Astyanax mexicanus: one gene and its partners. The protein of the gene in region 1 binds, or shares a complex with, the protein of each later gene. Links are inferred from orthologs where the notes say so. Each region holds a gene or a part of one and is shown in the gene's direction. Other genes may lie near its edges.

The links.
Region 2: the proteins of ptpn23a (region 1) and zfyve16 are in contact, whole or in part, in a crystal structure (PDB 5MK0), measured with the Homo sapiens proteins. The link is inferred for Astyanax mexicanus from reciprocal best matches to the Homo sapiens genes PTPN23 and ZFYVE16. Residues at the interface, in NP_056281.1 of Homo sapiens: Phe62, His125, Glu137, Glu138, Lys141, Val142, Cys144, Thr145, His146, Gln148, Cys149, Leu189, Lys192, Ser193, Asp196, Arg198, Lys199, Phe201, Leu202, Arg205, Ile206, Ala336, Leu338, Leu342, Asp348, Ala350, Val351; in NP_001098721.2 of Homo sapiens: Asp2, Tyr4, Phe5, Ala8, Val9, Leu12, Asp13, Leu15, Leu16, Asp17, Phe19, Glu20, Gln21.
Region 3: the proteins of ptpn23a (region 1) and zfyve9a are in contact, whole or in part, in a crystal structure (PDB 5MJY), measured with the Homo sapiens proteins. The link is inferred for Astyanax mexicanus from reciprocal best matches to the Homo sapiens genes PTPN23 and ZFYVE9. Residues at the interface, in NP_056281.1 of Homo sapiens: Phe62, His125, Glu137, Lys141, Val142, Cys144, Thr145, His146, Gln148, Cys149, Leu189, Lys192, Ser193, Asp196, Arg198, Lys199, Leu202, Arg205, Ile206, Ala336, Leu338, Leu342, Asp348, Ala350, Val351; in NP_004790.2 of Homo sapiens: Glu2, Tyr4, Phe5, Gln6, Glu8, Ala9, Leu12, Asp13, Val15, Leu16, Asp17, Phe19, Glu20.

The regions. Positions count from the first base shown.
Region 1 is NC_064408.1:124,231,775-124,239,249, reverse strand, and holds the start of ptpn23a (tyrosine-protein phosphatase non-receptor type 23), read left to right. Parts: upstream 1-4,439; 5' UTR 4,440-4,578; coding exon 4,579-4,662; intron 4,663-7,475. UniProt on the Homo sapiens protein: Plays a role in sorting of endocytic ubiquitinated cargos into multivesicular bodies (MVBs) via its interaction with the ESCRT-I complex (endosomal sorting complex required for transport I), and possibly also other ESCRT complexes.
Region 2 is NC_064427.1:615,864-623,280, forward strand, and holds the start of zfyve16 (zinc finger FYVE domain-containing protein 16), read left to right. Parts: upstream 1-4,340; 5' UTR 4,341-4,522; intron 4,523-6,385; 5' UTR 6,386-6,416; coding exon 6,417-6,486; intron 6,487-7,417.
Region 3 is NC_064411.1:57,255,053-57,262,248, reverse strand, and holds the start of zfyve9a (zinc finger FYVE domain-containing protein 9), read left to right. Parts: upstream 1-4,112; 5' UTR 4,113-4,371; intron 4,372-4,397; exon of another isoform or gene 4,398-7,196. UniProt on the Homo sapiens protein: Early endosomal protein that functions to recruit SMAD2/SMAD3 to intracellular membranes and to the TGF-beta receptor.

The DNA.
Region 1 (7,475 bases):
GGTAGTCATTAACTGACAAATGATGAATTTGACAGAGTGGAAATAATTACCAGTCTATAGTTATACAGTCATAAATACACTTGATATGCTCTCATATGTTCTACATCTCAATATTGTTCAAACATAGCACAGATGTCCATATATTTAAATAGAGTATGTTCAAAAATACAAAGGTTTTCAGCGCTGGTTCTAATATTTTTTACAATACTTATTATAGACACATAAAAGTTCAAAGAAATGACTGGAAATTTACCATCACAATAACATTCACATTTAAACACTACTTTATACACTAAATTTGTAAGATTGTTTAGCTCAGAGATGATGTACTATTGGTGTTTTTTTTAGTTTAAATGATGAGAAGGTTTATGTTAAGTGAATATTTACCTCCTATTTGAAGAGTCACTCCAGCATATGCTGTCCATCGGCCACCTGTCACATTAGTTCTGAATCTGAATTTATACTCTGCAGAATGGCTGAACTGTACATTACTGATTAATAAAGTACAGTCTGACTGTTTGTTTCCAATGTACTTAAATCCTTCTGAAGCGCTGTTAGAGCTGCTGTCATAAACATACGGTGGATCAGCACACCATCCTTCATTCGAGTTCATTGAGCACCAACGGACTGTTTCCACTTCATGTGAAGAAGGATAGGAATAAGAGCAGGGAATCCTAACATTCGATCCTCTCACAGCACAGATCGGTCCAGGATAGTTCACACCAAAGAAACTGCTGTCTGACTGAAAACCTGAAAAACATTCAATGGAAAACATAAAACAAACTGAAAAAAGTAATAAAATCACAACTGAAAAGATTAAAAGAATATAAAACTAGTAGGTGGTGTTTTTTTGGCAGGTAAATCATTTTTTCAAACCGATTCATGGTGGAGGGATACACACCAGTTGTTGTTTATCTCAAAACCCCACTATTAACAAGCACATTGTTTTTATTTATTTAAAGAGTGTGAGGCATCTGTGTAGTTTGAGTTGATTTTATAGACACAGTGCTGCAGTGAATTATGTTCACAGTTCACAGCCATTTCTAGGAAATGGGCAAGTATTAAACCACCAATACATTCGCTAATGCCGCCAGCCCAACAGTCCAAGCATACTTTTTAAAAGAATTATAAATTAAGTTGATGTTAAATTAAATTAAAACTTACTTGTGTTTTCATGAATGTGAATAACTATATATGATAAAGTACTACAACCTGCTATATAATTTGTTTTATGTCAGTAGAAGTAGTTTAAGTTGTAGGAGTAATGTTAATTCCTACTCTTTTTCATCTTACAATAAAAACAGCTTAATTTTACTTACTGAAGAAAAATATTTTCTTAGTGACGGCATGTAGTAAAACTCTTCTTTTTTATGACTTTTTTTTTTGCAAAACTTACAAAAATGCTTAGTGGGTTATACGTAAAAATATAGTGCAACATTTTTGCAACCTTATTATGAAGTAATGTCTGGTTTTAAGATTTTTATAAAAAAATGACCAATTTATACTTAAAAAAAATAAAGTTGCAAAAATGTTTAAGTAAAATTTGTACATAATGTTTTACCAACAATGTTGAATGTTCGTCATTTTTACGCCAAAAACAAAAAGGATAAAACCAACTGAATAAAAGCCTTAGAAAATTGGCTAGAGTGGTCTAATCTAATACTTTTGTTTGGAATCACCACCTCACTTCTCTCCCATCTCCCAAACACATCCAAATCATACAAATAAACTCGGGGCTTTAAACCCGTCTAGCCAGTGCCTGGCAAAGAGAAGGATTAGTAATGCTTACCGGTGAAATTGATCACAATAAGAACCAGAAGGTGCAGCCTTCCCATCCTTCCTCTGGAGCTCGAGCCTCTTCTCAACAGCTACTGAAGGTTCTGTGACTGTGTGAGATCTAAAGGCTGGTTACCAGGGTACAGCTATATATGTGTAAAAAACAAGTTTAGGCCCTAAATACCACAGGGCTGTGTTCATCATCACACCATCAGCAGTTAGAGTTGAAAAAGGAACTACCCTGTATGTTGACCACATCTGTTTTATTTACCACTGATGTGTGATTACTCAGTACAGTATGTTCAGAATATCACACTGATATAGTTCATATGAATTTTATGTTTACTGCAAACCTTTTGACAGTAATATAATCAGTGTGTTCATTGTACAGTGGCTTTGTTCTCACCTGACCACAAAACCTTCTTCCTCATGTTTGCTGTGTTCCTACATTACTTGTAGCTGCAAACCGCAAACTACAATTCTTAAGTTTTCTTTAAACAATGTTTTCTTTTTGCCACTCTTCCATAAAGACCAGATTTGTAGAGTGCATGACTATTAGTTGTCCTGTGGACAGATTCTCCTGATTCACCTGAGCTGTGGATCTCTGCAGCTCCTCCAGAGTGACCATGGGCTTCTCGGCTGCTTCTCTAACCAGTGCTCTCTTTGCTAGATCTGTCAGTTTGGGTGGACCATGGCCATGTCTTCATAGTTTTGTAGAAATAGAAGGTGTAGATTACTTTTTCTTTACTTTAATTTTGGATGATGGGTTGAGCAGAGCTCCTTGGGATGTTCAAAGCTTGGGATATGTTTTTGTAACTTCATCATTGACCTGTCTGGTGAGTTCCTTGGTCGTCTTGATGTTCTTTGTTCGCTAGTGTTTTCTAACAAACCACAGAGGTCTTCTCAGAACAGCTGTATTTATAATTTACTGAAACTAAATATATAAATTATAAATTTGCTCTATTATCAAATAGAAAATAAAAAGTGCAATCTGCAAAAGTATTTGGCCCCTTTTTAAGATGTGATAAAAACATCTATAAACAAGTAAAACCAGAGTATCTGTATGTGAAACTGAAACTCTGTAGAGTAGAAATTGGGTGATGTAGCAAGACAATGACCCAAACCACCGGAAGTCCACCCTAAGTACACAACACAACAGCTTAAGAAAAATCTGTCCTAAGTGTCTAAGTCAGAGCCCAGATCTTACCCTATAAAGATCATATTGAAGAAAATAAAGCAGTTATATAGGAACAATTGCCCAAAACTTGTCCTGAACATTTTTTTCTATAAGAAGTGCAGACACTGGAGCACTTAAACAATTCTATTCAAACACTCCTGCTTTGTCTGCCAGTGGATGAGGTTAAGTCTACATTTGAAGTCATTCTCTAAGTTTAGTAAAGATTTTCACTGTAAAATAAACTAATTTGATTTAATAATAATAAATAAATCATTTCAACATCTTCTGGAATTCTTCAGTACATACATGTTACAGGGAAACAATAGGATTTTCCAAAGTGGACTTAAAAAATGTTTCAAAGTTGGAGAGAAAGTGGGAAAGCCCTATGTTGACAACCAACATCGCTTAAACATGATGGTGGAAGGTTCTGAAATCTACCCCTTTGAGATTTTTTTCTTACATCTGAAGTTCCATGCCAAACACATTCAATGACACTGAGGTCTGGACTTGTCAGGACAATCCGTTGTCTAACAACAGAGGCAGCAGCTCCTGACTCCCAGTTACCGACTGAGTCAGATATTAAACATGTTGAATATTTTCTAGGTGCCCGTGACTGATAGGCAATCAAATATCTACGGCTTGGAGAGCGTCTTCCAGAAGTTCACACTCATTCATGTTGCATGTCCATGGATCAGATACGTATCTGATTTAGGACCACATATGGAAAGTTACGTTCACATTACCAGACTGTATATTTAAGTGACTTAAATATAATTTTTGCTCAATGTGGCTCAGGTCCGGCTTTTTCATGTCTGTGTAAACGTGCCAAATCTGATTTTTTCAATTCAGATTCAAGTCACTATCATCTGAGGTCCTAAATCTGATACGTATCCAATTCACGGACATGTGACATGAATGTGAACGGTCAAATCATAACGGTGTAATTTATGCGTCTTTTTGTTTTTACGCATGTGCTACTAGCTTCTCTCTCGCACCCACACATGTCTTGTTGCAGCTGTGCATCTATAGCTGCAAAAACAGCAAAAGCAAAATGCCTGGCATTTTTTCATGAACTTCAGAGCAGCTGTTTACTCTCCACTCCAGCAAAAGATGCTCCACATATGAGCTCCTAACAAACGCATCCATTTCCTTTTATAAAGCTACGAGACGTTTTTTTTGATGGTGAGGAAAGAGATGTTTATTCACGTATCAATGTGCAGCATGTGAGGCGTTTCAGGGACAGATTCGTTCACATTACACACAGATACAGATCACTTAAAGATACAGATCACTTTGTGAATGTGAACCAGCAAGATAGACAAATCCGATCTGAGCAAAAAATCGGACTTGAGCAATTTGGCTTGCAATGTGAACAGATTTGGCACGTTCACACAGCCATGAAAAAATCAGATCTGGGCCACACTGAGCAATGTGAACGCAGCCTTAAGACTACATTACCCATAATGCACGTCGAGTCCACGCCCGACGTAATGTCCTAAACACTGGTGGTTTCCTATGGACATGACACAGTGGTTTAGAATAGGAGATAAACAGCGGAGTTCCGGATAAACCGCGCGTTATTCCCCCCCAATACCCGGCCGGACTGAACCCCGCAGCGGGCAGGCATGGAGGCGGTGCCGCGGATGCCGATGATCTGGCTGGATCTGAAAGAAGCTGGGGAGTTCGAGTTCGGCGCGGCGGTGAAGCAGGTGAGCAGCCGACGCAGAGGCACCGCGCCCCGGCAGGGAGTCACCGGGTCTCCCGCTGTACTTAACCCGGAGAACCGGGCAGCGGGCCTGGGCTGGACTACAGCCGGGGAAAGCGAGGGGGTCTCCGGCCTGAGCGGGGCTGGGAGCCACCGCTGCCGCTGGGGCTAATACCTGGATAATGCTCAAGCTAATGCTAAAGCTAACTAGCTTATCCTGCTATATAACTTAACCTGATTAATTAGCTTATTAGCTAACTAGCTACAGTGTTTTAGTGACTGTTTATACAGTTTATTTGAGATAATAACAGAACTCAGAAAGCGTTCTTAGCTAAAAGCTAACTAATTTAATAGTGATATATAACATATAAGCTTTACTTATTTAGCTTAACCAGGCCCAGAATCAAAGTAGTTAAAGTAACATTAGCCTAGCTAATATATAAACAACAGGTACTCTGAGTTCATCCTAAACTCAAAATTCACTTCAATTTTTAACATATTTAGAATTCCAAATACTATTGTCATGATACCTAAATACAAATATCTAAATATCTCAATACTGATATTGAGCAATACCACAGAAAAACAAATAAAAGATGTTTGTTCTTCATTCTAAGCAAGAACATAATGGGTTGAGTAGAATTGGTTCTTGAATCGAGTGCAAATTAGAATAAATGATTCTAAACATTGTTTAGAAGGCCAAGTTTTGATATGTGGCTCAATATGTGGATATGTGGATATATGAGCTGTTAAAAACATAAACACGGCCTCTGGAGAACTCAAGAGAAGACACAGAGATTTCCTCAGACGAACTGAGGAGAACTGAGAAAACTGAGAAATAAAGTCATAAACCAGGCACAGAAACTTAATGTAAAAGAAACTCTGATGGAGAGATTATTATTATTAGTGTTTACTCTATAGTAATTAACGCTAGCCTTTCTTTCTAGATCTTTTGTTGACATGATACCACAGTTGTGACTTTTGATGTGATATCTGCCTAAATATCTCAGTAACTAGTACTGAAACTATACTACGGCAAACCACGAAAAATATTTTCAATGTGACGGTGTTTGTTCTTAATTCCAAAAAAAAGCGTATCAAGTTTTTGGAATTTCATTGATTGATAACTTTGTATGTAAATGTAAATAGTGTTGTCTCAATACCAAAATTATGACTTTCTATGAATTTTGGCATATATGGATTTTCTTTGATAGTTAACTTTGTATGTGAGCTGTAAGGAAAGTGAAAAATAAGGCATTAAAAAGCTGGGAGACATTTAAAATTTAAATTCTGCTGGGATCTGTTTGGTGTTTGGACACTATGAGGAACTTTCACAATGGGAATCAATGATTCTTTTTTTTTATAATTTTATTTCTAATTTTTCCCATTTTCTCCCAATTTACACGGCCAATTACCCAACCCACTCATTAGGACTCCCCCTATCACTAGTGATACCTCAACACACCAGGAGGGTGAAGACTAACACATGCTTCCTCTGATACATGTGAAGTCAGCCACCGCTTCTTTTCGAGCTGCTGCTGATGGAGCATTACCGAGCAGCCAGCGAGCTTGGAGGAAAGCACAGCGGCTCGGCTCCGGTACATCAGCTCACAGACGCCCTGTGCTGCAGACATCACCCTAGGAGTGATGTGGGGAGAGAGCGCTCATAGTGGCAGCGCTTTAGACCGCTGGACCACTCGGCGCCCCGGAATCAATGATTCTAAACATTGTTTAGTAGCTCATGAGGCTCTGATCTGGTGTAAACATAAACACAGCCACTCGGAAACTCAAAGAAAACACAGAGCTCTCCTCAGACACTGGATTATACTTCAGAACTGAAAACTTAGAAATAAAGCAGTAAATCAGTCAGAAATTTACTGTGAAAGAAACTTTAATGGAGAGATTATTATTGAGTGTTTAATACAATAGATAAATAACAGTTGATATCAGGCTCTGAGCTTGTTTAAACACAGCATTGAGGCAATTGTGAGTTTTAAACTGTGAAGACAGCTAGGTGAATCCCAAGTAGTGTTTTGTCGCGATACCAAAATTATAACTTTTGATACAATACCTGCCTAAATATCTCAGTACTGATACTGAAACCATACCATGGTAAAAATACATAAAAAATGAACAATGTGACTATGTTTGTTCTTCATTCCAAGCAAGAACGTAACAAGTTTCTGGAATTTCCTTGATAGATAACTTTGTCTGTGAGCTGTCTAAGCAGAGAGCCCCTCCCAACCAGAAAACCAAACATCTGTAAGGTGTTTGGACACTTTAGGACGCTGTACGCTTGGTCAAAACGCTTTACGAGCTTGTAGAAGCCAAAGGAAAATAAGAAATTTAACTTAAAGATACCTGTGTAAATATCTCTAAACAGATACTGAAACTATGTAAAAGAAAAAAGCAAGAACGTAAAAAAAGTTTATAGAATTGCATTGATAGTCAACATTTAAAATTTGGAAGACATTTAAACCATAAAATCCGCTGATATTTTGTGAATTATCATGTGATCTGTTTGCTCTTTGGACTCTTTGAGGAACCTACACAATGCGTCGAGTGTAGAGTCGGCACTTATTGAGTGATTCACTTCAGGAATCGAGTGCAAATTTGAATCAATGATTCAAAACATTAAATCCTGTGTTTTATAAGGCTCTGGGCTGGTGTCAACACAGCTGTGGGGAAACTCAGATATGACACAGATCTCTTCTCAGACACTGGATTATATTTCAGAAAGAGGTTTGAGGATAAAGTATTATTTTAGGTTAAATGTGGGGCCCGGTGCTGCTTGGATTAAAGAACTGGTAATAAATA
Region 2 (7,417 bases), on another chromosome or scaffold:
CGCAAGTTGGGATGATAATTCTGAAACAATATGTTGTGAACAATAAAAGAGAAAAATAATATAAACTAGAGCTGGGCTTTTACTAATTTTGGAATATTAAAAATATATTAAATACTGTTTTTCTTAGGAATCTGCTGTTACATTTGGCCAGAATGTCAAAATATTGACAGTTTTTTTGTGTATCATGACAATGTCTTAAAATATTGTGATACAATATGTTTTACAATATCGCTCAGCTTTAATTTAAAACCCAGGGAGAAAAATATATGTATTTTCTTATTATTATTTGAGATTATATGCTGACTTAAGTTTTATTGTTTTTTTCTAGATAAAAATAGTTTTTTTTCTTAGACACAGCGAACTATACACAAAACTATAAGATATTACACTTATTTATGTGAACTTAATATAGACACTAAATGTAAGATCACATCATTTTTCACCAGAAATTCAGTTGTGATGTATTATTTAGATTAGTGACTAACAGAAGGTTGATTTTATTCAGGAGCTGAGTTTCAGAAACAGGAGAAATCTGCAAAAATTTACTAAATTTCGCTCAAATTCAACAAAAAACTAAACCATGCCTAAACAGAACTACTGTACATGTGGGCAGATCTACTTTTCTGTGCGGAGGAAAGACCCCCCCACCTCCAGACCTCCTCCCACCTTCTCCTTCCCCTTCCTCTGGAATTCCACATTTCCACACGCTAATAAACAACATAAACAATGTAAATAACGTGTTTAATCTAATAACATTAAAATAATAAAGAGAGAAATAGCAGAAATAAGCAGGTCTACCGTCATTATTAAAAGTTTAAAACAGTCCAGTCTGCACTTTAATCTACATCCGCCCGCAGGCAGTCTGAAAAAGCGGGACCCGGTCAGATCCAGCGCCGTAATAATAAACAGCACAGCTCTAACTCATCCCTCCGCGCTCTTAAACACCATATAACCCGCTAACGCTGCGCTATAAAGTCTGATTTAGTGAAGTTAATGTGTTTATATAAAGGTATTTACCTGTACAGGTTGGATTCAGGTGTTTAAGCGCTGTATTTTCTCTGTTCTCGGGGTTTATAAGTTAGCAGCAGCAGCAGCAGCTCAGCCAGAGGTTTGGAAACTCGAACCACGTGACCGGCCGATCCCTGCCTCTGACGTCACGGACTGAAACTCTGTACCTGAAGCGGGAAGTGAAGAAGCTCCGCCCCAAAACTGATGATTAAACTCCGCATGTCTTACCTGTTACCTGTGTTATCCGTGTATGTCTACCTTCACACAGCAGGTAAAATTGGCCAAATTCTACGTTTATTTTAGGCTGTTTGTGTGCATGACAGAGCAATGCTTCACGTTAAGATTCACTTTAATCCAGAATAACATAAATCACAATCACACAAGCTATGAATAAGTTCAGCTGCAAAAAAGTGGCCTTTTTGTCGCTTCACCTATAAAAGTCGTAAAAATTCCGATCTGCCCGTTCACACTGAGTTGCAATGGAGCAAATCGGACATGTATTGGATTTCAATACCACATATGAAGTGGCCCAGATCAGAATTGTATCACATACGATATAAATATGATGTTAAGGTCAGATTTGGGCCACATTTACCTGCTGTGTGAACAAAGCCCTATTATTTGTGGTAGTCAAGTCAAGTCAAGTCGAGAGGCTTTTATTGTCATTATATCTGAGTACACAGTGTTGTGAAATTACATTCCTCCGGAACCACGGTGCAACACGGGACAACAAACAATAGACAACATAGTGTCTGTATTACAGCTAGATGTAGATGTTTGATAAAGAATTTACTTGTTTATGTAATAACTTGTTTCTATTATTTGTTGCATGCTACTTATTTTGTGCATGGGCACCGCTTAAAAGCTCTTTAGCTTCTTAGGGTGTCCCTTTTCACATAATTTAATTGTTAAAAATTGCTTTGACACTTGTTGCTTAAACAGATGTGTGATTAAAAGCATGATAGATACTTGTTACTTGGCCTGATCAGCTTATTATAGAGTTATATTAGATGAAGCTGTGATGTTGAGAGTAATAGAGGGGTTTCTCTGCGTGTTTATAATCAGTATTTACAGTATGTAGGTCACTGGCCCTGATTATGGCTTTCTTAATCTGTTATGGCTGGACATCATTTTTCCAGCAGCCCTGGATCTCTCATATTTCTGTAAAGTGGACCAGCTCTGATCCCACTCTCAGCTCTTTAAACAGAAAACTCTATAATAATCTTTTTATCAGGATGGGTGTGTCTGTGCTGAGAAAATTACTGCAGCTAATAAAGATGTAGGATAGGGACTACATTGCTTTGCTTAACACACAAACACACACACTGGTTTTGTTTTTTTTGTGAGGACTTTTCCACTCACATCTTCACTCTTTTTTTTTTTTAAACAATATTTGTATATTTATGTATATATATGTTATATATATATATGCTAATGCTAGAAATGACCTGCACTGGAGCTCAGTGTTGTTGCAGTTTATCACCTGGCCTGCAGAGGGCAGCAGTTTAGTCCTTTTAGACTTGTCATGTCATTCTTACTCATTATTTAGAGTTATTAAGTCACTATTTGGAGACATTAGCTCGTTATTTCTGTATAATATCAAATATGTTCGAGATAATATGTTTTTGTTTCAGATATTGACATGTTTTGAGAAATTACCATTTTGAGATGCAGTATTTTTAGGCATTATTTTGAGTTTAAAACCTAAATCTATTAATTCTGAGATATCATATCGTAGTTTTGAGATATTGTCATTATTAAGAGATAACAAAATAATAAATACAGCACGTATTTATTTCCTGCCTGCTGTTATACAAAATCTATAAATTATATTAGTTGAAATTTGTGCACACATTTGCCTATTTCTGTGAAAATTATAGCATAGTCGTGCATTATTAGTATAGAACATTCTATTTAATTCAAAAGCCAATATAGTTTAAATTTGATTAGCTTTTTACGAAAAATCCTGGAAAGTTTAAAGATAGATAGAAATATGAACATAAAATCATAAAAAAATGTATTATTATATATTATGATATAGTATAGATTGTGGGGAAATGTACTCATCTGTAGAACATGATCAAATACAAAATCTAAAGGATCTTTTACAACAATGTTTTGTTTCCACTGCTCTTTTAGTTTATTAGATTATTAAACGTAAAATCCTGTAATCTTACTGTACCACTTCAGTCCACAAGCTTCTCTCACATCCAGGGATGCATTTCTTTGCATTTCTGCTTGTCTAGAAATGCATGTGTACAGCATGTCCTTAAGGGGTGGCTCTAAGCATGAGTTACAGTTTCAATTTAGTTTATTATGATTTTTGGTGTTTTACTGGGAAGGCCTCTCAGAAATGGAACACAGATTCTATATTCAGAATATTTGGCACCAATAATAAAATCCTTTTCCAAATATACATGGAAAATACTGAATAAATGATTGACGGCACATTTACAGTATATAGTGCTGGCTGCCCATATCAGTGCTGATTACAAAACACCTCTATCACTACTGACCTCCATTGTTTATCACAGAATAATAAAAGATTCAGCAGGGAGTGGAGATTTATAAGGTTATAAGGCCCTATGTCTCTGCAAACCATCACAGATTGGTGGAAACTCGAGCAGTTTGGACTGTGTGTCTCTCCACTCTTCCTCCAGACTCTGCTCCCTTAACTTCCTTTAAATAAAATGTAGAATTTACTGATGATCAGTGATGGTTTGGAGAGACATGTCTGTCATCTGCTGGTGTTGATCCACTGTGTTTTATTATCAAGTCTAAAGTCAGTGCAGTTTTGTTTTCCCACAAAATCTTACAGCTCTTCATATCTTACAGCTTCCCTCTGCTAAAAACAACTTTTATGGAGATGAGGATTTCATTTTCCAGCAGGACTTGGCACACTGCCCACACTGCCAAAAGTACCAATTGGTCTTATATAATATTCTAATTTTCTGAGACACTGATTTTATGGGTTTTCATTGGCTTTAAGCTTCATAATCATCAACAATAAAAGAATAGATCACTCTGTGTGTAATACATCTATATAATAAGCTTCACATTTTCAACTGAATTACTGAAATTTATTAATTTGTTTATATTAGTGTAGTATGTGTATGTATGAGTGAGTATATATGTGTTTATTTTAGTTTAGTGTCTGTGTGTTTATAAGTGTGTAAATATATATATATATATATATATATATATATATATATATATATATATATATATATATATATATATATATATATATATATATATATTGTGTGTGTGTGTCTGTGTGTGTGTGTTTATATTAGTTTAGTATTTATGTGTTTATGGGGACGCTGTAGCTTTAAGGGAGTTGCTAACCTGCTAGCGGGAGCACACCGGCGCTCTTACAGCAGCAGAACTGGAGCAGCTGCGGGATTTCTGAGGAATAAACCCGCTGTTAGCCGCTGTCCGCCCCTTCAGAACCGAACCGAGTGGACCTGGCACCGCTCTGAGGACCGGGGACTGAACTATGAGGCATTTTACGGTAGATATCCCGCGGAACCGGGGCGGAGATCTGACCGGGGCTGTTTGGGTGAACGGTTAGCCGGTTAGCCGCTAACAGCTAACCCGGGTTATTTAATGCTGAGTGTAGCTCAGTTAGCCGCGCTAAGCTAACCTACTGCTAACTGTCCTGCTTCAGCTAGCGACAGATTTATCTCCAAACAGCTAACCCAGACAAATAACACTATTTAATAACATTACTTATATTTAAGTATTTATTCAGGATCAGACAGTACATATTAATACATATTACTACATATGTGTGTATGTGAGTGTGTATATATTAACCTATACAAGCTGTATCTGTGTGTTTATATTAGTTTAGTATCTGTGTTTACGAAAGTGTGTATATACGTGTGTATGTTCAGTACATTAGTTTAGTAGCAGTGTTTACAAGAGTGTATATAAGTTACAGCTCTGTAAAAATAAAGAGACCCCTTCAGTTTCTGAATCAGTTTCTCTGATTTTGCTATTTATAGGTTTATGTTTGAGTAAAATGAACATTGTTGTTTTATTCTATAAACTACAGACAACATTTCTCCCAAATTCCAAATAAATATATTCTCATTTAGAGCATTTATTTACAGAAAATGAGAAATGGCTGAAATAACAAAAAAAAAAAAGATGCAGAGCTTTCAGACCTCAAATAATGCAAAGAAAACAAGTTCATATTCATAAAGTTTAAAAAGGGATAATTTTATGCCACTTCTAATGGTTGTGATCATCCATCTTCCTCTTAATTATTTCCAGAGCTGTATGTGTGTTTATAGTATTTGTTTTAACATTAGACCTGTTTAGTTCATTATTTAGGGTTAATCAACGGTTTCCTCTGACTCACACTGCTGTGATTTAGCTGGAGATGTTTAGTTTAATATTTTACCTGCTGATAAACATCTTTCTGATTGTGTTGTTGTTCAGTTCGCCTCTAAAGTAAAGGGGAATCTGATGTCCAGCTGACTGACTCACTGACTGACTGACTGACTTCGTAGTTAATTAACCCCAACCTTCCTCCAGTTCTCTATTATTAGCAGAGAAGTTGTTAAAGCTCAGCCTGGAAGAGGTTCTGGCTGTAGCTCCGTGAGGAAAAGAAGATTATCTGAATTTAGAAAGCTTGCTGCACTAAATGTTTGATGAAGAAACCCAAAAAAACACAAAACATTTCCAAAATTAGCTATACTGTAGGTCCAGTGATCAGGAGTTGACAGTTCAATAGCTGGTAACAGTATAATAAATTATTAATATTAGCTATTACAGTTTTTGTTTGAATGGCAACTATGCAGTGAACTAGGTTAACTAAGATAGCTATTATATTAAGGAGAGAAAACCATCCTGTCCAGTAGGGTAAAAAAAATAACAGGTAAAAAAAACAAAATAGAGATAATAGATCTATGGAAACTAATAAAAATAAATAAAAAATGGCTTAAATCAATACATCTCCATGTAGCGTGGCCCTTTTCATGCATACAATAAATATGTCAGGAAGTATTGGGTAGAAATATGTAGACCTCGGCCCAATGCTGGTGAATTTTTTGCTGATCTCGATATAATTACGATATAATTGTGCGTCTCTAATTATGTTACAGTATTGTCAGTATGTGAGTGGCATAAAATGACATAAAGATTGACTAGAAAAGTAGGAATTGAATTGTAGGAACAGATTTTAAACCACATTAGCCATAATAGACCATCTGAAACTAGCTACCAAAGCTGCTTTTGAGCTGGATTTTTAGACTTCAGGCTATCAAGATAACTAGTTTTTTGTAAGATATACATTAAATGTTATGTTGTAGGATATGATCATGACATGTCTTAACTTCTGAATCCATGTGTTCACCTCTTTCCACAGGGGTGATAGACGCATATAGTTGCCCTATAGGATGGACAGCTATTTTAAAGCTGCTGTGTGTGACCTGGACAAGCTTTTGGACGACTTTGAGCTGAACTCAGGTGAGATGATCTCCTCTTCTTTCATTGTAGTGTAGCGTACTGTGTTGTACTTTAGTGTAGCATAGTGTACTGTAGTGTAGTGTACTGTAGTGTAGTGTAGTGGAGTGTATTGTACTGTAGTGTACTGTAGTGTAGTGTAGTGTACTGTACTGTAGTGTACTGTACTGTAGTGTACTGTAGTGTAGTGTAGTGTAGTGTAGTGTAGTGTAGTGTAGTGTAGTAACCCGTGGGAGAATGAGAACATGCAGCAGTTCTGTTGTGATTAATTACCGTGTCCACTCTGAAGACACAGTTATTGTCCTTTATTGAACCCAGAGTTTGTATGGAGACTAACGTGCTTATTGCAGAACAGCAGCGCTGAGGTATTCATAATAACTGCTGAGGTCGGAGAGCACTTAATAGCATTGTTCACAACTGGCCTTGTGTGGTCTGTTAAATGGATGGTCTGTTAAAGTACACGTGCGAGTAAGTTTTTTTTGAGATCTTTGTTAAGATGACGGTACCTACATAGAAAATATATCTGCACTGTTCTCAGTATAAACTCAATTTTGTGGTTTGGATCGTTGCCTCGCCAGAAAATCAATCGGCAGCCCAATTTTAGCTGCCTGACCGAGGGAGTCCGTTTTCATCCTATGCTGCCCCAGAACTTAACACTGTCTATATTATCATGTAATTTAAATAATTAAATAAAAGTCCTTTTATACAGCTTTGAAGTTTTTGAATCAGTTTCTCTGATTTTGCTATTTATAGGTTCATGTTTGAGTATAATTAACATAATAACCTGGTGGTTTTTAATCACAGTTTTCATGCATCTTTGCATCATGTTCTCCTCCACCAGTCTTACACACTGCTTTTGGATAACTTTATGCTGCTTTACTCCTGGTGCAAAAATTCAAGCAGTTCATGTATATATATACACGTAGTTCAATTA
Region 3 (7,196 bases), on another chromosome or scaffold:
ATAGGTTTTTACGTATATACATATCTATTAGGGGTGTGTCATATCGTAAGGAATAATATCACCAACATTTTTGAATATCGTGAACGATATTATACCCTGAAATATCATACCATATCACGCATCCCTAATTATCACATCAGGGTTCTACTTTTTTTTTTTTTTACTGTTTTTATCAAAAGAAAAATTCACACTGTTCTTATTTCCCATTATATATCTACTAGAGACAGATTATATCTGTGCAGTATCATTTATTTTACTTTAATCCTGGATATATGGAGATATTTGGAGTGTATTATTATTAGAATCATGACATTCTGTCAAGCCTTATTGACTTCTGTTACAAATCTGATAAAAATCTTGTATTTGTTAATATCTCGGTTAGGGGTGTGCCATATCATATCGTATACAATAATAAAATTTAATTTTCATTTTGTTGCAGTAGTGTATTCTTGAAATAATTTTTTATTTAGTATTTTGACATATCGCCAAGAGTATAGTCATTACAAAAAAACATAAAATATTGTCATATTATTTATTATTTTAGGGCCATATCGCCCACCTCTAATATGGGATTGCAGGGCTTTTTGACTACTATTTGGTTAATATATTTCTGGCAAAATCACAAAAGTTTTACATGGAAAATGCAGATATGTAGGTTTCTAACATATCTAAAGCCTATAACTTAAAAAAGCTAGCTAGCTAACTAGTCAATGACATTTGTTTACCTTAAATAAAATAAATAAAATAAAAAGTATATTTCAGGAGTTATAAAATATGCTTTATGCTAACTTTACGATTTATTAAAGCGAAATATCTTCAGTTATCTAGCTTTCTTTCCTAGAAAAGCCATAGTTAAGTGCTGTGAAAACTGCGGTATAAAATTAGCAAACTTAGCTGACAGTTTGACCTCAGAACTGAATTCCCGCGCTTTTATATGAACAGCGCGTGACCCCGGCGCGTGACTCTGGGCTCGTGACCCACTGCGCAGATCCGCTGATCTGTAGCTCATATTATGCACCACGTCTTGGCGATTATGATTTATAGATCATTAGATCTGCCGTCTGGATTTAAAATTAGGGATTTTTTATGATTTTTTTTTATGTAAAAGGCACAATAATATCTGACTGTAAATAAAATGTATGTAAATACAAAAATAAATATAAAAATGTAAAAAAAAAAAAAAGATAACTAAAATGCTCATATGGCCTCCATCATTTCTATAAACTAATAAACATTTCAACACTTTCTTAAAATAAACTAATTTTATCAAATGTTTCAGGTAAAAGACAAAAATGTAGAGATTAAATAATTTTCTAGAGTTTAGATGTTTTTAATTGTTCTATAAGAAGGAAAACCAATACTACTTTTAAATCTTTACTAATAAGTTGTGCAATGGATTCTACTAGTTTTTATATGCAGATCCAAATGTGCAGTATACTGTATATACAGTTTGGTTATTTTAATATAAAGTTAATTATACGTTTTAAAATGTAAAAAAAAAACAGGTTGAACATGATGTATAGATCATTAAATCTGACATCTGGGTTTAAAATGAGGGATTTTTATGATTCTTTGTTAATGTGAAGAGCACAATAATATCTGACTGCTAATAATATTTATGTAATTAAAAAAATAAATATCAAAGATTCGAAAAATGTGGCCTCCATTATTTCTACAACCTACTAAAATTTCGACATCTTCCTAAAATAAACTAATTGTTTTTACCCAAAAATGTACCAAATATTATGGCATAAAAGTATTTTTCTAGAGGTTAGATGTTTTAAATTGTTCTATAGAAAGAAAACCAATACTACTTTTAACTTTTCATCAAACAACATGTATTCTATTGCTTTTTATACAGATCCAAATGTGGCGTATACTGTGAATAGAGTATTGTGATTTTAAAATAAAGTTAATTTTTATATAAACAAGTTTTAAAATGGTAAAAAAAATTTTTTGAGTATACTTCATTTTGTTCTGTGTAATTTCTCATTTCTGGTGTCATTTAATTAATTGTATCCCTGTCATCCATATTTATTCAGTGGGCGTTACTGTTTAGTTTACAATGCAGCTCCAGACTTCACAAATAACTAATTAATATTCTAGAATAAAATTACCTCCAAAGGCTGTGGTATTGAATATAGGACTGGTAACTCTGATAAACTTATTCTGTGCAACAGAGGGAACTCTTGCTCTTGATAAGTGCCAGTTTCATCATAAGGTTTCTGGTGGTCTTTGCGACTGCACTTTGTACTTTCAGTTCTTGACATTTTTCAGACTGCCTGACCCTCATATGTTTTTCTTCATAGTTTGGATGACTTTAGTATTAATCTACAATGCAGAACATTTTAAAATGATGTGAAAACACTGAATTTACAGTGTGTATGAATTCTGTGTGTATTTTGATTCTGCATATTTCTCCTTTCTGGTATAATGATTAATGATTATATTCTATGTTGTTATACGTTACATAACTTTTTGAAAAAAAAATGTAATACTTAGTAACTTATTAATATTTCAGGATAAAAATTACCTTCAAAGGCTGTGGTCTCGAATATAGGGCTGGTAACTTTGATGAACCTATTCTGTGCAACAAAGGAAATTCTTGCTCTCTTGTTTTCTTGGGGCAGTCCTGATGAGAGCCAGTTTCATCATCATAATGTTTTTGATGGTCTTTGTGGTGACTGAAATGGAGGATACCTTCAGTTCTTTAACATGTTTTTGTTCATAGTTTGGATGAGTTTAGTATTAATCTATCTACAGTACAGAACATTTCAAAATGATGAAAAATGATGAAAAAACACTGAATTTAAGGTGTGTGTGCCAACTTTTGACTGATTTAGTATCCTGTATGTCCTTTTTTTCTGCATATTTTCTGTATTTTGTTTTCTGATATCAATTAATAATTATATTTTAAGTTCTCAAAGTCAAAGTCAAAGTCAAAGTGGTTTTTATTGTCATTTCAGCTATATAAAGAGTACACAGTGAAACGAAACAACGTTCCTCCAGGGACCATGGTGCACATAAACACAGTGTAGACAGAACAATAGTGCAACAGTACAAAAGTGCAGACAGACAATACAACACCATACAGACAAAGAATAATAAATAACAAGACAGTGTGCAAATTATGCAGTGTGCAAAAAAGACCAGGTGAGGTAGTAATTACCTCTATTACACAGTGTGCAATAGAGTCCAGTGAGGTAGTAGGGTTTTTAGTGCTTTCCATTTTCTGGGGTAAGTGGGGTAAGAGTGTGTGTGTGCATGTACAGAAAAACCATCAGTTCAGTCTTTGCAGTTAAGGAGTCTGATGGCTTGGGGGTAGAAGCTGTTGCAGAATCTGGTCGTGCTGGACCGGATGCTGCGGTACCTTCTTCCCGAAGGCAGGAGGGAGAACAGTTCGTGTGAGGGATGGGTGGGGTCATTCACAATGCTGGTTGCTTTGCGGATGCTGCGGGTGGTGTAAATGTCCGTGATGGAGGGGAGAGAGACGCCGATGATCCTCTCAGCTGTCCTCACAATACGCTGGAGGGTCTTGCGGTCAGAGACGGTGCAGGTCCCAAACCAGGCAGTGATGCAGCTGCTCAGGATGCTCTCAATGGTCCCTCTATAGAAGAGTGTGAGGATGGGTGGAGGGAGACGGGCCTTTCTCAGCTTCCGGAGGAAGTAGAGACGCTGCTGGGCTTTCTTGGCTGTAGAGCTGGTGTTCAGGGTCCAGGTGAGGTTATCTGCTAAGTGGACACCAAGGAACTTGGTGCTCTTAACAATCTCCACAGAGGACCCGTCGATGTTGAGTGGAGAGTGGGTGTGTTGTGCTCTCCTGAAGTCAACAACCATTTCCTTTGTCTTGTCCACATTCAGGTGAAGGTTGTTGACTGTAAACCAGTCTGTCAGTTATACGTTACATAACTTTTTGAACGAAATAATAAAATGAATATATAATAACTTATTATTATTCCAGAATAAAAAAATACTTTCAAACATTGCCAATATTTGTAAGCACCGCCTCCTTTTCAACCCCACGCCCACAACCCCGCCCACGGGCGGAGCCAAATGCGTCACTCCTCGGCTTACAACCTACAAAGCAGTGAGTAATTACTCCAGGCCCCGCCCCTTTCTGATGCCGCGCTGTAGCAGCGCTGCCTCGCGCTCCCCGCTCTAGTTTAGAGGCCATCTTTACAGCCCGTGGGCCTGCAGCGGAGAACCGGAGACCCGCGGAGCGTCCACGCAGCTCAGCCGCCGCAGGGTGAGCTCAGAGCGGCCACAGCGGCTGGATCGCCCCGCTGAAGGAGCCGGAGCTGGAGGAGGAGCTGGAGCTGCTGCATGGCTGCGCTGCGCTGTGAGTGACTGAGGATGGCCACTGCAGCTGCGGTGAGTTAGTTAGAGAGCCAGGCAGCCTGGCACACTGATAATCGATCGTTTTCCGATAGATGATCAATCGATTTGATTAATTTTAATCCCCGGATCACCTTCACGGTGTCATTTTACACAGAGAAAGAGAGGCTGCAGCAGAACAACACAGGCTCTCACCCTGCTTTACTGCTGGATTTCTCAACAATCCGGATCATTAGCTGGAATAATTCGCTTTAAATCCACATTTTTAAACATTTTACATCCTTATTAACATACCACACAAGCTCCAAACCCTTTAAAACAGCCTGTTTTTATGTGATCAGCTGTAGAAAACGCTCAGGAAGAGGTCAAGCTCCAGCCAAAGTTTATTTACTCTAGCTCTAAGCTAGGCTATAACTGGCTAATGCTGTGGTGCAACACTGTTATCTAGAGGTTAAACCCTTTTAAAACCTTTTTAAACCCTTTAAAATGCTTTATTTTACTGCGTAGAACTAATTGTAAGTGTTTACTAAGGCTGTAAATGTTTATTATCTGGTTTCCAGGTTTTGATCCATGATAATACCATGCTATTTTGAAGTTGGATGCTATCCATGCTGTGGAATATGGAGCTCAACTGTTACATAGTTTTATCTTTTAGGTTTGACGTTTAAAAAAATAGTATACCAGTAATCAATTATGTATTGTTTGCATACACTGTAGTAGTACTACAGTAATCACACCCTGAATAAGGGCTGCAACTCATGATTAATTTGTTAGACAGCTAATCTGATGATTGTGTTGTTTGTTATTTTGAAGTTGGATGTCATCCCTGCTGTGGAATATGGAGCTCAACTGTTATTTCTTGTTCTCGTTTTATCTCTAGAAACAGCTGAAATGGGATTTAAATTCCCTTAAATTGTCCAAAACGTTGCTCTTTAAATGTGGAAAGTGCTGCTATTTATTGAGGAAATGTGTATTCTGTTGAATTTGGGCCCTTTTGGAGACGTAGACAGAGTTGAGTGTAAACTGTTTGATTTACCCAGTACTGTTTTACTGAATAGAACTACTTTTAAGTGTCTACTATGGCTACAAATGTTTATTAACTGGTTTCCATGCTGTCATCCATGATAATGCCATGCTATTTTGAAGTTGGGTGCCATCCATGCTGTGGAATATGGAGCTCAATTGTTACTTCTTACATAGTTTTATCTCTTAGGTTTGACATTTAAATTTTAGAGTACGGTAACCAATAATGTATATTTGAATACACTGTAGTAGTACTACAGTAATCACACACTGCTGAATACGTGGCTGCAATTAGGGCTGCAACTAATGATAATTTTGGTAGTTGACTGATTTGACTATTATTTTCCTGATTAGTCGATTTGTAGATTATTTCTGCTTCCTCTGGGAATGGCTTCGGTTTATAGCTTCCTCTGTCTTCGCTTCAAATCGCTAGAAACAGCTGAACAAGGGATTTAAATACACTTTAAATGTGGAAAGTGCTGCTATTTATTGAGGAAATGTGTATTCTGTTGAATTTGGGCCCTTTTGGAGACATGTTGAGTGTAAACTGTTTGAGTGTCCCCAGTACTGTTTTGCTAAATAGAACTACTTTTAAGTGTCCGCTAAGGTTACAGATGTTTATTAACTGGTTTCCATGCTTCGATCCATGATAATACCATGTTATTCTGAATTATTTTGAAGTTGGATGCCATCCATCTTGTGGAATATGGAGCTCAACTGTTATATCTTTTTATTAGGTTTGATATTTTAATTTTAGTATACGTATTGTACAGTAATCAATATTGTATATTCGCATGCACTGTAGTAGTACTACAGTAATCACACACTGAATTAGGGCTGCAACTAATGATCAATTTGGTAGATGGCTGCAACTATTGAATATTTTGTTCGTCTACTTATCTGGCGATTATTTTTTCCGATTAGTTAACGATTATTTCTGCTTGCTCTGGGTATGGTTCCTGTTTCTAGCTTTCTCTGTCTTCGCTTCAAATCGATAGAAACAGCTGAACAAGGGATTCAAATGCCTTTCAAATGTCCAGAACGTTGCCCTTTAAATGTTTAAAAATGCTGCTATTTATCGAGGAAATGTGTTGAGGTAACCTGTTGAATTTGGGCACATTTTGAGACACACAAAAAAAAGAAGGAATAAAGTGTTGTTTGATTAATAATTTAAACAATACTCAATTATTGATGTGTTCTTCAGCATGCTAACGCTAGGTGACAAAGATCACCACCTCTAAGCTATTTACGTGCCGTTAAAATTACTGCAATCAGTTAAATCAAACAGATAAGATGTAAACTAGGCCCAAAGCAATAGTTACATCAGTGAGTTATCATAAAATAAACATGCAAACATAATCTCAGTAAAAATCCACAACAACACTGTTTAATACCGTAATATGAGATTGCTGTGTTTAATACTAATAATCCTTGCTTAAAAAGCCTGTGGGTGGATATATTTATGGATGTATACATGTATTGATGAGTACATTCATGTCTGGATAGAAATATTAGTAAATATATTGACCAATATACAGTATAGGTGGATGTACTGTTGGGTAAATCAATGTATTTATGGATGGAATTGTGTAGAAAAGTATACTGATGGTTGGTTGGATATATCAATGGATACATGGATGGAAGGATGGATATATTGAAATACAGATGCATGGACAAATAAAAATGGCTATATACTGTAGGTATCAAAATATATGTTTTGATTAAGACTGTATTTAGGTGTATGTACTGATGGCAGAATCTACATATAGTAGTCATAGGATACAAATTTGTATGGATGGATGGTTGGATGGATATGTTGGAAAAATCAATGTACTAGT